3 linked regions of the Oryzias latipes genome follow. The protein of the gene in region 3 purifies or fractionates together with the protein of the main gene of each other region. This does not show direct contact. Links are inferred from orthologs where the notes say so. Each region holds a gene or a part of one and is shown on either strand. Other genes may lie near its edges.

Region 1 (3,652 bases), on a different chromosome or scaffold from region 3:
GTTTGGTTCAGACGGGTTCCAAATTGCGCTGCGCAGCTGAAATCGCGCTGCTGCAAGATCTCTGCACAGCACCTGAAGCTCAAATCGCATGTCGAAAATTATGTGCGAATAGCCACCCTCTTTCTGACATTTCATTTGCTGTGAATTCAACAATCTGCATGTGCTAGCATCAAATCAGTTCTGAGCCACAGCTAGAGCTGCTCGCTGATGCCATGGAGCCAAAATTATTATTTAATTCAAAGCATTTTTCATGGGTTTATCAGAATTCTTTTTTGTCTGTAATTTTACTCAACAGCAGGGTATGGTTCACACATTCCACACATTGTTCAAGTGTTGATCTGGAACCATAATTATGTCACTTTTGATCATTTCCTTATCGATAAAGATAAACTTTTGAGAATAGTAACTGTCAGTCCGCAGTCAAATGGAACTAATATTTGTTTTAAATTCTGCATAAAATCTTTTTTTTTTTAATAAATAAATCTAAAAAAGGAAAAAGAGGCTCCGTCACCTGTAAGAAGTCTGTGGTGGGCTTGGACAGCTGACTGGAAAGGAACTTAAAGTGCTCCTTGTGAAAGCGACTTTCAAGATGAACTTCCATATCGGCTTTGTAGAAGGAGCGAAACTTGCACACGGAACATGCAAACATCACTCTAAGGGAACAAATACAAACAACAAAAAATAGTCTTTTATTAAATTCCCACCATAAGTTGTTCCAAGAACTTGTTAAAGGTAAGAATGGTTCTAAAATCAATAAGGACAGCAGATGAATTTCAAAGGTTAAGGGTCACCTCACCTTTCCAAGAATCCTCTTCTCTTCCTGTTTTTTGACTTCTCCTGTCCTTGGCTCTGTTTTCCATGAGGCTTTGTCATTTCCTCCTGTTTGGGAGCAGCTGAGCATCACAAAAGCACGTTAGGAATACCCAATATTTTACACAAGCCAACAAAAGTCCAAGGATGCAGTGTGAAACCTACCGACATCTTCTCCTTCAGTGGGTTGCGTCTCCTGTAAAAAACAAAAGAAGACAGGTAATTAAAAAACAAAAACAAATGTTAAGCTATAAAAAAAACATTGAATTATTTGCCAACTCACATCGGCTGCCGTCTCTGCTTTGTCATCATCAGCTTTTTCTGGTTCTTCTGCTGGAACAGATGACATGAACATCAGAACAGTGAGGACGCTGCTTCATGAGGTTGTGCAGCTGCCGAATCAAAGAAAGCACCTGGTGTCGTTTCCGTCCCTTCATCCTCTTTCCTGTTCATCTTTGACTCTGGCTCATCAGCTTCTGCTGGATTCTTTCTCTTCTTCTGAAAGTTGCCCTGCGGTTTCACCTGCTACAGTAAAGTAGTAATCAAATTTGTACTTAGAATGATCAAACTTGCAGTTCAAAATCATACATTTCTACGTTCAAAAGTTAAACCTGGAGCGTGGAACTAAACCTCTGGCAGTAAGAAGTTTCAGTCTTTATTCGCGTTTGACTTCAATAAATTTTCTTATTTAAATATTGCACTAAATTTTTAATAGACATGCTTTTAACTTTGATGATTAAAATATCAAATCATTCCAACTATCATAAGCTGATAAAAACTGGAGAAATAGAAAATTTGGGGGAAATTTTCTTTGAATCATTCACCCAAAACAGGATGGAGTGTTTCAGCTTTACTCAGAAAAACTGCACTTCCACGGGTGATTTCAGCCCAAATAAATCGAGGGCTTAATGGAACTGTAGTGCAGCAGATATTGTTCTTAACCTATTTGGCTGTTTTGTTTTTAATGGTAAAGGGCACGAACAGGGAGTTTAGACTGACCTGCCTGTTGTTTCAGGTATAAGAAAAGGAGGGAATGAAAACGGGGATAATTGCTGCCCGGGGTCTGAGGTTTCATTTGGCTGGAGTTACTTACTTTGTTGAGGGGTCTCTTGCGGCCTCGTTGGCGGCCAGCCCTTGGGCCCCCTCCAAAATGCCTCCCAGGAAAGTCGTGAGGCCCTGCAGCAGAACCCTGGAAGCCCCCGCTCTCAGGGTACATGCGGTTGGACAGGAGGGATGGGAGCTTTCCTCTACCACCTCCTGGAGAGTAGCCGCCATGGGACTGAACACCGCTGCCACTTCCCCGCAAACCTCCACCTAATGGAGTGGGGTCAGACCTGCGGCCCCCAAACCCTCCTCGACCCCCAGCACTTCCACCCCTTCTGGGGGAACGTCGGTTTGCTCCAACCCATCCTCCACCTCCAGAACCTCCTCCTTGGCCACTGGCGAAGGACTCCCTCATATTCTGTCGCATTTTGGCGACACCATAGGCAGAGGAAGGGCTGTCAAAGCCTCCTCCTCCTCCTCCCAGCCCCATTCCCCCTCCGAAGGTCGAGCCTCCTTGCTGATTCAACAGCATGCTGTCTCCACGGACATCCCCAAAACCAAAGCTACTGCCACCAGATCTGTAGAGATCTCGGGAGGGGAGAGCAGATGTGCGCGAGTCGAAGGACTCGTACTGGTCAAACCTGCGGGAGGGAGGGAGAGGGTTGACAGAGAAGAGCAAAGAGCAAGGGAGGGTAACCAGTTTGGGGTTTCTCCACCTGCACTTCTTTCTCTTCATTCCTTTGCTTTTTCTGAGTTCCAGAGTTCATAACCACAGATTACAAACATCTGAGCTACAACAAGGATTTGTTTGTAGTTTTTATGAAGCAATACAAGGTTGTCCTCATTATTTACAGAAACAATTGAAGTCTTAGGGAGGGAATTCATGTAAATCAAGTTCTATCTTCAAAAGGTTGGCTGGTGAACGGTGAACAGACATGAACATGTCCCAGCACTCACAGGATAGGAGTATCAGGTGAAATAAACTAAACTGATGATGTACAATATGGACATTTCAGAAACAACAGCCTTCAATCAACATTTTGGCTTTCTAAAGCATTACTGGGCTAGCACCAGTACACTCATCGCTCTTGAGCAACCTAAAGCCAACATAGGTTAGGTCACATGGAGGATGGGACAAACGTGAGGAAACGCACACAAGGCAAAATAAAAGCAATGCTTGAGGAGAGCTGGTTGAAAGATGAACCGGGCAACATGGGCACGGATGGATGTCATTGTGTTTTACCATGAAATGTGTTCAACAATGACACCTGAAGAAGCCTTTTATAATGCTTAAGCTTTCAGGACAAATGCTCATCACCCCATCAAAGCTCTTAGAAACAGTGATAGCAGAAAGAAGTTTTTCCTTCTGTTTTCTGAAATGCCAAGTTAAAATGCAGCCCTTGAGCAAGGCTTCTATTCCATCCTTTATTGAAATTAGAGATGTGATCAGAAATCAGGCCCGATCACCTAGTGTTAGACTCAAGCTGAATCGGAGGGATCGGATATTTATTTTATTCTCTTTATTATGACAAGCGCTATATATATATATTTTAAGATTATTATTATAGGTAAATGCTCTAGTAGAAGTCTGCATATCATGAACAGATCACAACATTTTACTGCCATAAAACGCAGCAGAATCTGGCCCTATTTTGAAGCGACCAAAAACAGGTTGCTACAGTCGAACTTCCAGGCTCAATAACTCTTTTCACATATATTTAAAACGGACAGCGAGAATCTCAATTGGTTTGTATTAACGCAAACAAAGACCTACAAAGTCATTTCAAATTAAAAAAGA
Region 2 (3,752 bases), on a different chromosome or scaffold from region 3:
TCAGCAAAAATAAATTATTGTCCGTGGCACTGGTTTAAGCAAGCTGATCCTGCGTGGGTTCTCCATAAAGTGTGGATGGAGTCCTCTGGTTGAACACAACGTGAGCTCTCAGTCTGTGGAGGCACGTGGACGTTAGAACTCGTCGTGCCGAGTCAGAGCTTCTCCAAAGTCGGTTGCCTGACTACCAACAAACAAGTCGTACTTGTCCACGATCTCAGCCTTGGTCAAACGGCCATCCTGGTTGGGGAGGGGGAACATACAAAACATGAACAACCTTGTATCACAACTAAACCTCATTCATTAATTTTCAGACAAAGACACATTTCTGATTTTAAGCACTCACTTTGTCTACATCCGACTCATAAACCAGATGCTTGGCCTCAGCCTCAGCGTGGTCATAGTCACTGGGCAGGATCCAGTCTTTCGTTTCCTCTTTGTCCATCTTCCCGTCTTTATTTTTGTCTCTAAATTCAGTGAATTGCTCCCTTTCAGTCTTCACCCACTCAGGTTCTGTAGTTTCACCATCCTGGTTGTACATGTCACCTAAAGCAAAACATTGTTATGAGGGATGTCCATGTGATTACATCATAATAACCATCTTTTAAAATGATAGAAGCTCACCGATGTATTCATCCAGATCAATAAATCCATCGCCATTTTTGTCAATGTCTTCCATAGTTTCCTAAAATAAAAAATTGGAAAAATTTGGCGGTGAAAAGGCCTGTGGCAAAAGCTACAAGGTTGACGTTTGAGTGTATAACTCACCAACACAACAATATCTTTCATGTGCTCATACTCCTCAGGGTGAAGGAAAGCAGTAAACTCCTCTTTGTTGGCTTTCATGTCATTGTCCTGGTCGGCCATCTTGAATCTCCTCTCATCCCGAGCCATCATCTGTTTGTAGCTGAAGCCGTCATCAGGATCCTGATCATCTGGTGATCAAAAGTCAAGACAAGGCTGTTAAAATGACTGAATTCAATATGCCTGGAATGCAGCAAATGGCAGCAATTTCTTTACTAAATAAAGCACTAAGTGTTTCAGTGTTTTATCTACAGGAAAGGTCATTATTCAAGAAAAGGAGAGAGTAATTGATAACAGAGACTTAAAAGACATTTTGTAGATCAAATATCTGTGTCTAGAACCATACCAAGGACATATCCATATGTGGCATTCTTGTACTCTTCCCAGGACACGAATCCGTCCCCATTAAGGTCATGACTCTTCCACTGGCGATCCACGTCATCATAGATCCACCTTTTTTGTGCATCCTTGATCCACCTCTTCATCTCTTCAGCTGTCACATACCCATCTTTGTCTTCGTCGATGCGATCTACCAACATGCTGCAGATCCAAAAAAAAAAGAGAAATCAAATCAGTCATTGGGATTTTTTTGAATATACAAGTGAAGCAGAGGACATTTGCTCACCCAAGTCTCTCTTTGCTCTCTTCAGGTGTGAGCTGGTCAAAGCTCTTAGCCTCTTCCTGTCCCAGAAAAGCCTCATGGTCATAGTCAAAGTTGTCAGCATCGTCATGTTCTAGGTTGCTCAAAGGTTCGTCGTGATGAACACGGTCTTTCTTCTCTGTGGGCTTGCTGGTGGCATAAACCACACAGAGAGCAAAACACATGACAAGCGGACGCAGCTCCATCCTAGACATGAACGGATGCTGCCTTAACCTGAGGATTAAGAGGGAGGGGGGGGGGGGGGGGGGGGCTCAGTCACTCCATCTTGCATCTTAACTTGTATGATGAATCATGATTGCTAAATATCATGAATGTTAAAGACACAGAGCTTGTTCCTGAAGCATGATTCAGCTATTGCTCAAGCTGATGTAAAGATAATTTGCTTGACTTAGCAGTCAAGTAGTTTGCATCAATTATAGCTTTATGACAAAATTGTAAAGATGAAAAAATACGATATGTGCAGTTTTACTACCCAAAATGTTTTATAGACTTAAGATCAAAATTTCACAGGGTTATAGAGTCTAAAAATAAAAATTCCAGTGTTACAAAAATAACTAAAGATCTTTTCAAATAATTATTAATTTCATTTAAAGTTTTAAAACAATTGCAACTATTGCATTTTCACATCATTTAGAAAAAATATTAATGAAGGTATATAACAGGTTGTTCTATTTAGAAATTAAAGGAACCTTTTTTAGATAGACACAAAACTCAGTTTTTTACCCTCATTTCCGACTGACTAAATTAGAAAAAAAAGACATTTATCCACTTGCTGTTGTCTTTTTATACTTCACTGAAGCATGTATTTACAGGCAGGACCGTTATTTTCCACTGTCCTAACCAAACAAACGCTGGCTGACATTGATAAACGTTCCGCTACTTTCACCATGTCTTCTCTCGCTTTCACGTCTTTCATTAAACGGCTTAATTACAGAAAATGATTTCTAAAACATAAAATCTCGCTAAAGGACCAACTACTATCCTTGGCTAATGTATTTTACGCGATAACTTGCCACAAAAACCCACCTGAGTCGTTGATGAAGTTGGTCGGTAATAATTTAGACCCTCTACTCGGAAACACACCCATGAACTTCCTGTGAAAAAAAAGGGGGCTGACCAATCAGACGCCGAGAAGGCGGGTGTGATGTCGCCGTCTCATTGGTCCAATGCAATCGAGAAACGTTGATTGGATTGGCCGAAAACCGCCACGTCCTCAAAGTCAAAACAGCCCAGTTCATTCATAAAGACTTCTGCTACGATTTTATTTCGTCTGACATGAGTGGAATCCCCTGCTAGAAATGTAAAAATGATCAAATTAGGCATTAATTGAACTATCATAAATCCGGATTTTCCAATTTTGTCATGAAGTTCTTTCTATAATCATTTAGGCTACGAGGCAGCAAGACAGAATAAAATGAAAACTGAAAGAAATTAGAAACAAAAAGAAAGGAATAAAAAAAATCATAAAAGATACAAATGATAAAATTATATTTTTTTAATTTATTACACGTTTCCAGCCAAATATTTAGTAAAATTGTTGAATGCCTTTTATGTCAGTTACTTACCATATTGTTGTCCTCAGTGACTCATGTTATGTTGATAGTTAGTCTATAATTTGAATGCTAAAGAGTGTAAATGTGGACAAAATGTCCTTGTTAAAATATTTTTATTATTGGACTTTAAGCTTTATGAATCAAGTTGGAAAAAAAATATTTAAAAAAGTATGTAAATGCTAATATTCTCTGATGACAACACATATAAAATGTACAACTTCTGCAGGACTTTTTAAAATAAAAGTTAAACAAGATAAGGTTAAATAAAAACAAAACCAATTATAAGAGAACTTGACTTTTCTTTTTAAATAATAGAATGAACATACCTACAATACTAGTATTAATCTCTGCTTGTCAATCAGCAGTCAAGAAACACTACCAATAACATGCAGTCTGTAGAAAAGGGGTTTTATCCAGTGCATTTAAAAAAGTTGTGTAGTCAAACTAATCTAAAATAGAAGTCTTTCCTATACAGGAGAATCTTGATGAATTCAGCCAACAAACAAAAAAGAATTAAAATAAAAACTAAAATCAAGTTAATATTTTGCATTACTACAAAATCTAGTTTATTGAATAAAACAATTTTTTTCTGAGGTTGGGGGAAAAAATTACACAATAGATTGCATTCTATGAAAAATGTGCGAGCTAAAACAAAAATAATATTATAAAAAATAAAGTAACAGAGCCAAAGACAGCTTTTCCTGTTGCCGACTTGCATATAATGTTCTCATTATGGG
Region 3 (3,752 bases):
CTTATGTTGTAAATATAGATACACACATACAGGTAGTGTTTTTCCCGGTTTACTTTCACCCTCCCTCCCAAAAAAAAAAACCCCTTTTCCAGTTACCTCTATTGTGTTTTACCCCAAAACGTGCAGTCTCCGAGGGCAATATTTACTGTAAAGTAGTACTGGCTAGCTGTCACGGGAGCCATGATTAATATGCAGAAAAGTTTTTTTTTTTAACTGTACTCTGCAGGACAAGAGCTTTTATCCATCCACAAGACAGTATTTAACTTTGGGGGTGAAATACAGTCCCCATATTTAATTTTATAGGCGGTTACGCCACTCAAACTCCAATGAAAACAATCAGCTCCAAACCCTGAGTTTGAAGTGTGGATAAAAACTTTATCAGCAGCGTAGCACTGTTTGATGACGTATGGGAACGTGTTAAGGTAGCAGAGCATTAACAAATAAAAGCTGAATTAAACGAAGACCGTGTCTAACATGGCAACTCTACCAGTGGGTAACGGTGATGTTATGTGAGGCCTTATAGTTCCTGTTACAACAGTTAGAGTCTGAAGGCCCTCAGAGGCGAACCGTTTCGCCAATAAGTGAAGTCCAAAGCTATCCTAGTACTCGGTTTCCCTTCGTTTCGAGAGTCCATTTTTGTGTCCGCGTGCGCTCCGTGGAAGTAAATTAACTCCTCGCGCGAGCTAGCAAACACAAGCAAGACATGCTGCAAGCTGCAGCCAGTACGTGCTCACCAAGAGAAGTTCAAAAACTTGGGCTCCGCCATAACTTCAGGAAAAAGTGGCGTCGGTGACATCATCAGGATTTTTTTTTTGCAACGCATTCAAAGAAAAGATGGAGAGAACGTCAGGACTGCTGAAACGGGGGGAGACGTGTATCCGCCGGTTCGGTTGTGTCGAATAATCCTCTGCGTCCGGAGAATGTTGCATTCATATAAAGGTCACAGGCGAGTCTCTTTCACGGAAAACTTTCCTTCTTCCTCGTCTCCCGGTGGTTAAATTGGAACAAAAATGTTGTTCGCATAAAAAGTCAGACTGTACTGAGATTTTTTTTAATTCACCTTTAAAGTCGAACCTCCATTAGTTTCTGCAAGTGCTCCATTATTTACATTGTTTAGATTTGAAGGCGTGCGTCCGCCCGACGCCACGGATTGAAACTAGACCTTGCAGTCAAAACAAGACCTGCAAGCATCGCTCACGCTGACTGCGCAGCTGGAGGACCAGCCGAAGTCCTCCCACTTCTTCGGCTTTATTCGTAAATAATTGAAAAGAAACAGTTTTGTCTGTAATACAGACCTGTGAAGTCATATTTTACACCGGATTTCGTCCATTCTTATCCCCCAGTAAGTGTTCGTTTAGGCTATTTTGCTTCAAAAGCGCATTTATGTTTACTTACGTTTGCAAATCTTTCAGAAAACGCAAAAAGCTAATGGACTTACACCGGAGGTCTTCATTGGTTTACGCTCATGGCTAATAAGTATTTCATTACATTTCCAAGCGCGCCACCTGGTGGCACAGACGGGTTATTGCAACCCTGAAATTTATCTGCTTCTTTGTAGTAAATCTGAGCCAAAACTGACATATTTGGTCTAAAAATATCAATAAACCACAATGTGAAGCCATGTAATATAAATAATCACAATACAAACTGGTATTTTAGCCAAGTAGAACAAAAGAACCACGTCATTACTTGTTCTACCTTTGTAAGATCTTTAACCATAATAATTTCTGGCAAGTAATGTCCATTTATTCTTAAAGCAGTATCATTCTGAAAACATACCAAACTTATCTCACCATGTGATCATCATCTCTGTGACGTCCTGGCCTGAAAGGATCCTCCGAGGTCCCCTTATCCCAGATGGCTCCAGTATCCTCCAAAGCAATGAAGGAGTTTTATCATCATACCAGGCAGTGTGTTGTGTCCTGAGCGCTGGATATCTCCATGAGCAGCTCTTTGCACAGTTTTACCAAGACAATAAAGCCACAAAGCTGTAGGTTTATTCTATACTTTCCCAATAAACACTTTTCATCTGTAACTATCCGTAACTTCACATTTCACCCATCTTCTCCGACAGCAGGCTTTTCTAACCCAATCTCAGAAGTAACTGAAACACAGAAATACTAAACAGTGTTCCAGTGAGGATGGGGCAGGGCTTTGTCATGGGGCTGGCTTTTAAGGTGCTCCAGCCCATATGCAGAACCACAACTCTGTTTTTAGTGACGCTGAATAAAATCCATCATTTTACACAATCCAGATCGATCCATTACAAGTTATTAGACATGATCAGATTTAATAGGATGCAAAAATGAGATATTAGACAAATCAAACGACGAAAGCTTTCCATCCAAATCCACCTTAAGACTGGTGAAAGCGTCTCTTCCACGTATTGATCTAGGAGAGCACTCAGGACAGTTAGCTGAGATGTTTTCAGCTCCTATGACATGTGTACCTTTCAATACTCAAAAATAAATAGAAGACTGATGAAATATTAAAGTTTATTGTTTTACAAACAAACAATGACATAAACTATAGGTTGAATTGACCCATTATTAGTTTAATTCCAGTAAACAGCTTAAGGATCTGTCTTTTTACTTTATTTCTTTAAATTTGGCTTATTTGGAATAAAGATAATTGTAATACAGCTGTTGTTTACAGTCTATTAAAATCGGAGTTATTCAGTTATTTACTTTCACATTTCTCATGTATTTTAATTTTTTTTAATGAAAAAGTGTTAAAATATTTTTTTTAATTCAGCCACTAAAAATCAAACCTCCATGCAATTTCCAAATTGCATGAATGTAGATCCAAAACCAGATTGGTTGACATTAAAAATGTGTTAATTACATAAAGAGTTTCCCCCTTAATTTTAACATGAATTTAGCTTGGCTTCAATTGTATTATGTTTCTCTTAAACTTTAAAGTGCTGCCATGTTTGGTGTTCTTCCTAGCATACGGGCGGTACTCGCACTTCCAGATGTTTTAGATGTCTGAAATGAAGCGAAGAGAAAACGACTAATTTAGCGGAGGAGGGAAAAATATGGACCGTCTCATCTCAACGATTAGCCTATTTGGAGGGGCGGTGTCCAGGCTTCTTGGTCTGTGATTGGTTACTTGGCGAGCACGTAGCCAATCAGAGGGCGAGTTTTTACTGGATACTGTGAATGACAATTCAGGAACTCCTGCCTGCACCGCATGCAGCGCAGAGGAGGAGGCGTAAACAGTGACATAGCTAGGTAGCCATAAAGGTAAGCAATAAAACGGCTTTGCGATATTATAACCGTTTGGTGTTAAAGGTCTTTTGCAACATTTGTATTTATGAATCAAAATGTCAACCAGCGTAGACGTTTGATTAATTTTGTTGTGAATACGGCTTACTGTCAATTTGTTTGCTCTCACTAACTCAGCATCGGCTTCGTAGTCCGGCCTGCTAACGTTAGCACATCACAACGACTTTGGTGAGTGCGCCCTGGCGGGAAATTTCGTTTATACGCAATATTGAATCTGATACTCCTGGAAAAACACTTAGCGCAAGGAACTATCGATAATAACCCCGGATCGGCATCCTTTTACTGGGCAGCGATGATTGATCGTCGACTGAACCGCGTTTCTTGGTCATGAGGTGGTTAGCTGAGCTCGCGTGCGCTAGCCAGCAACGGTCTCGCGAGTGCGCAGAAAAATCAACGTGACTAGGCCGACGCTCATGCTGCCTCAACCTCTGGCATTTCTGTTGCTGTGAGCGCCTAAACGCTTCA

What was found.
Region 1: the proteins of raf1 (region 3) and A-kinase anchor protein 8-like purify together in Homo sapiens (affinity purification with mass spectrometry; 3 studies listed by BioGRID and IntAct, with this or other methods). This does not show direct contact. The link is inferred for Oryzias latipes from reciprocal best matches to the Homo sapiens genes RAF1 and AKAP8L.
Region 2: the proteins of raf1 (region 3) and calu purify together in Homo sapiens (affinity purification with mass spectrometry; 3 studies listed by BioGRID and IntAct, with this or other methods). This does not show direct contact. The link is inferred for Oryzias latipes from reciprocal best matches to the Homo sapiens genes RAF1 and CALU.

Annotation. Positions count from the first base shown.
Region 1 is NC_019859.2:24,054,377-24,058,028, forward strand, and holds part of A-kinase anchor protein 8-like, read right to left. Parts: intron 2,496-3,652; coding exon 1,904-2,495; intron 1,336-1,903; coding exon 1,224-1,335; intron 1,144-1,223; coding exon 1,094-1,143; intron 1,007-1,093; coding exon 976-1,006; intron 894-975; coding exon 797-893; intron 654-796; coding exon 512-653; intron 1-511. UniProt on the Homo sapiens protein: Could play a role in constitutive transport element (CTE)-mediated gene expression by association with DHX9. Increases CTE-dependent nuclear unspliced mRNA export.
Region 2 is NC_019864.2:19,379,023-19,382,774, forward strand, and holds the start of calu (calumenin), read right to left. Parts: upstream 2,585-3,752; 5' UTR 2,489-2,584; intron 1,676-2,488; 5' UTR 1,657-1,675; coding exon 1,427-1,656; intron 1,342-1,426; coding exon 1,148-1,341; intron 933-1,147; coding exon 766-932; intron 683-765; coding exon 622-682; intron 544-621; coding exon 344-543; intron 238-343; coding exon 133-237; 3' UTR 1-132. UniProt on the Homo sapiens protein: Involved in regulation of vitamin K-dependent carboxylation of multiple N-terminal glutamate residues. Seems to inhibit gamma-carboxylase GGCX. Binds 7 calcium ions with a low affinity.
Region 3 is NC_019865.2:17,676,294-17,680,045, reverse strand, and holds the start of raf1 (RAF proto-oncogene serine/threonine-protein kinase), read right to left. Parts: upstream 2,413-3,752; 5' UTR 1,780-2,412; intron 1,479-1,779; exon of another isoform or gene 1,396-1,478; intron 1,321-1,395; exon of another isoform or gene 1,296-1,320; intron 1,252-1,295; exon of another isoform or gene 735-1,251; intron 1-734. UniProt on the Homo sapiens protein: Serine/threonine-protein kinase that acts as a regulatory link between the membrane-associated Ras GTPases and the MAPK/ERK cascade, and this critical regulatory link functions as a switch determining cell fate decisions including proliferation, differentiation, apoptosis, survival and oncogenic transformation.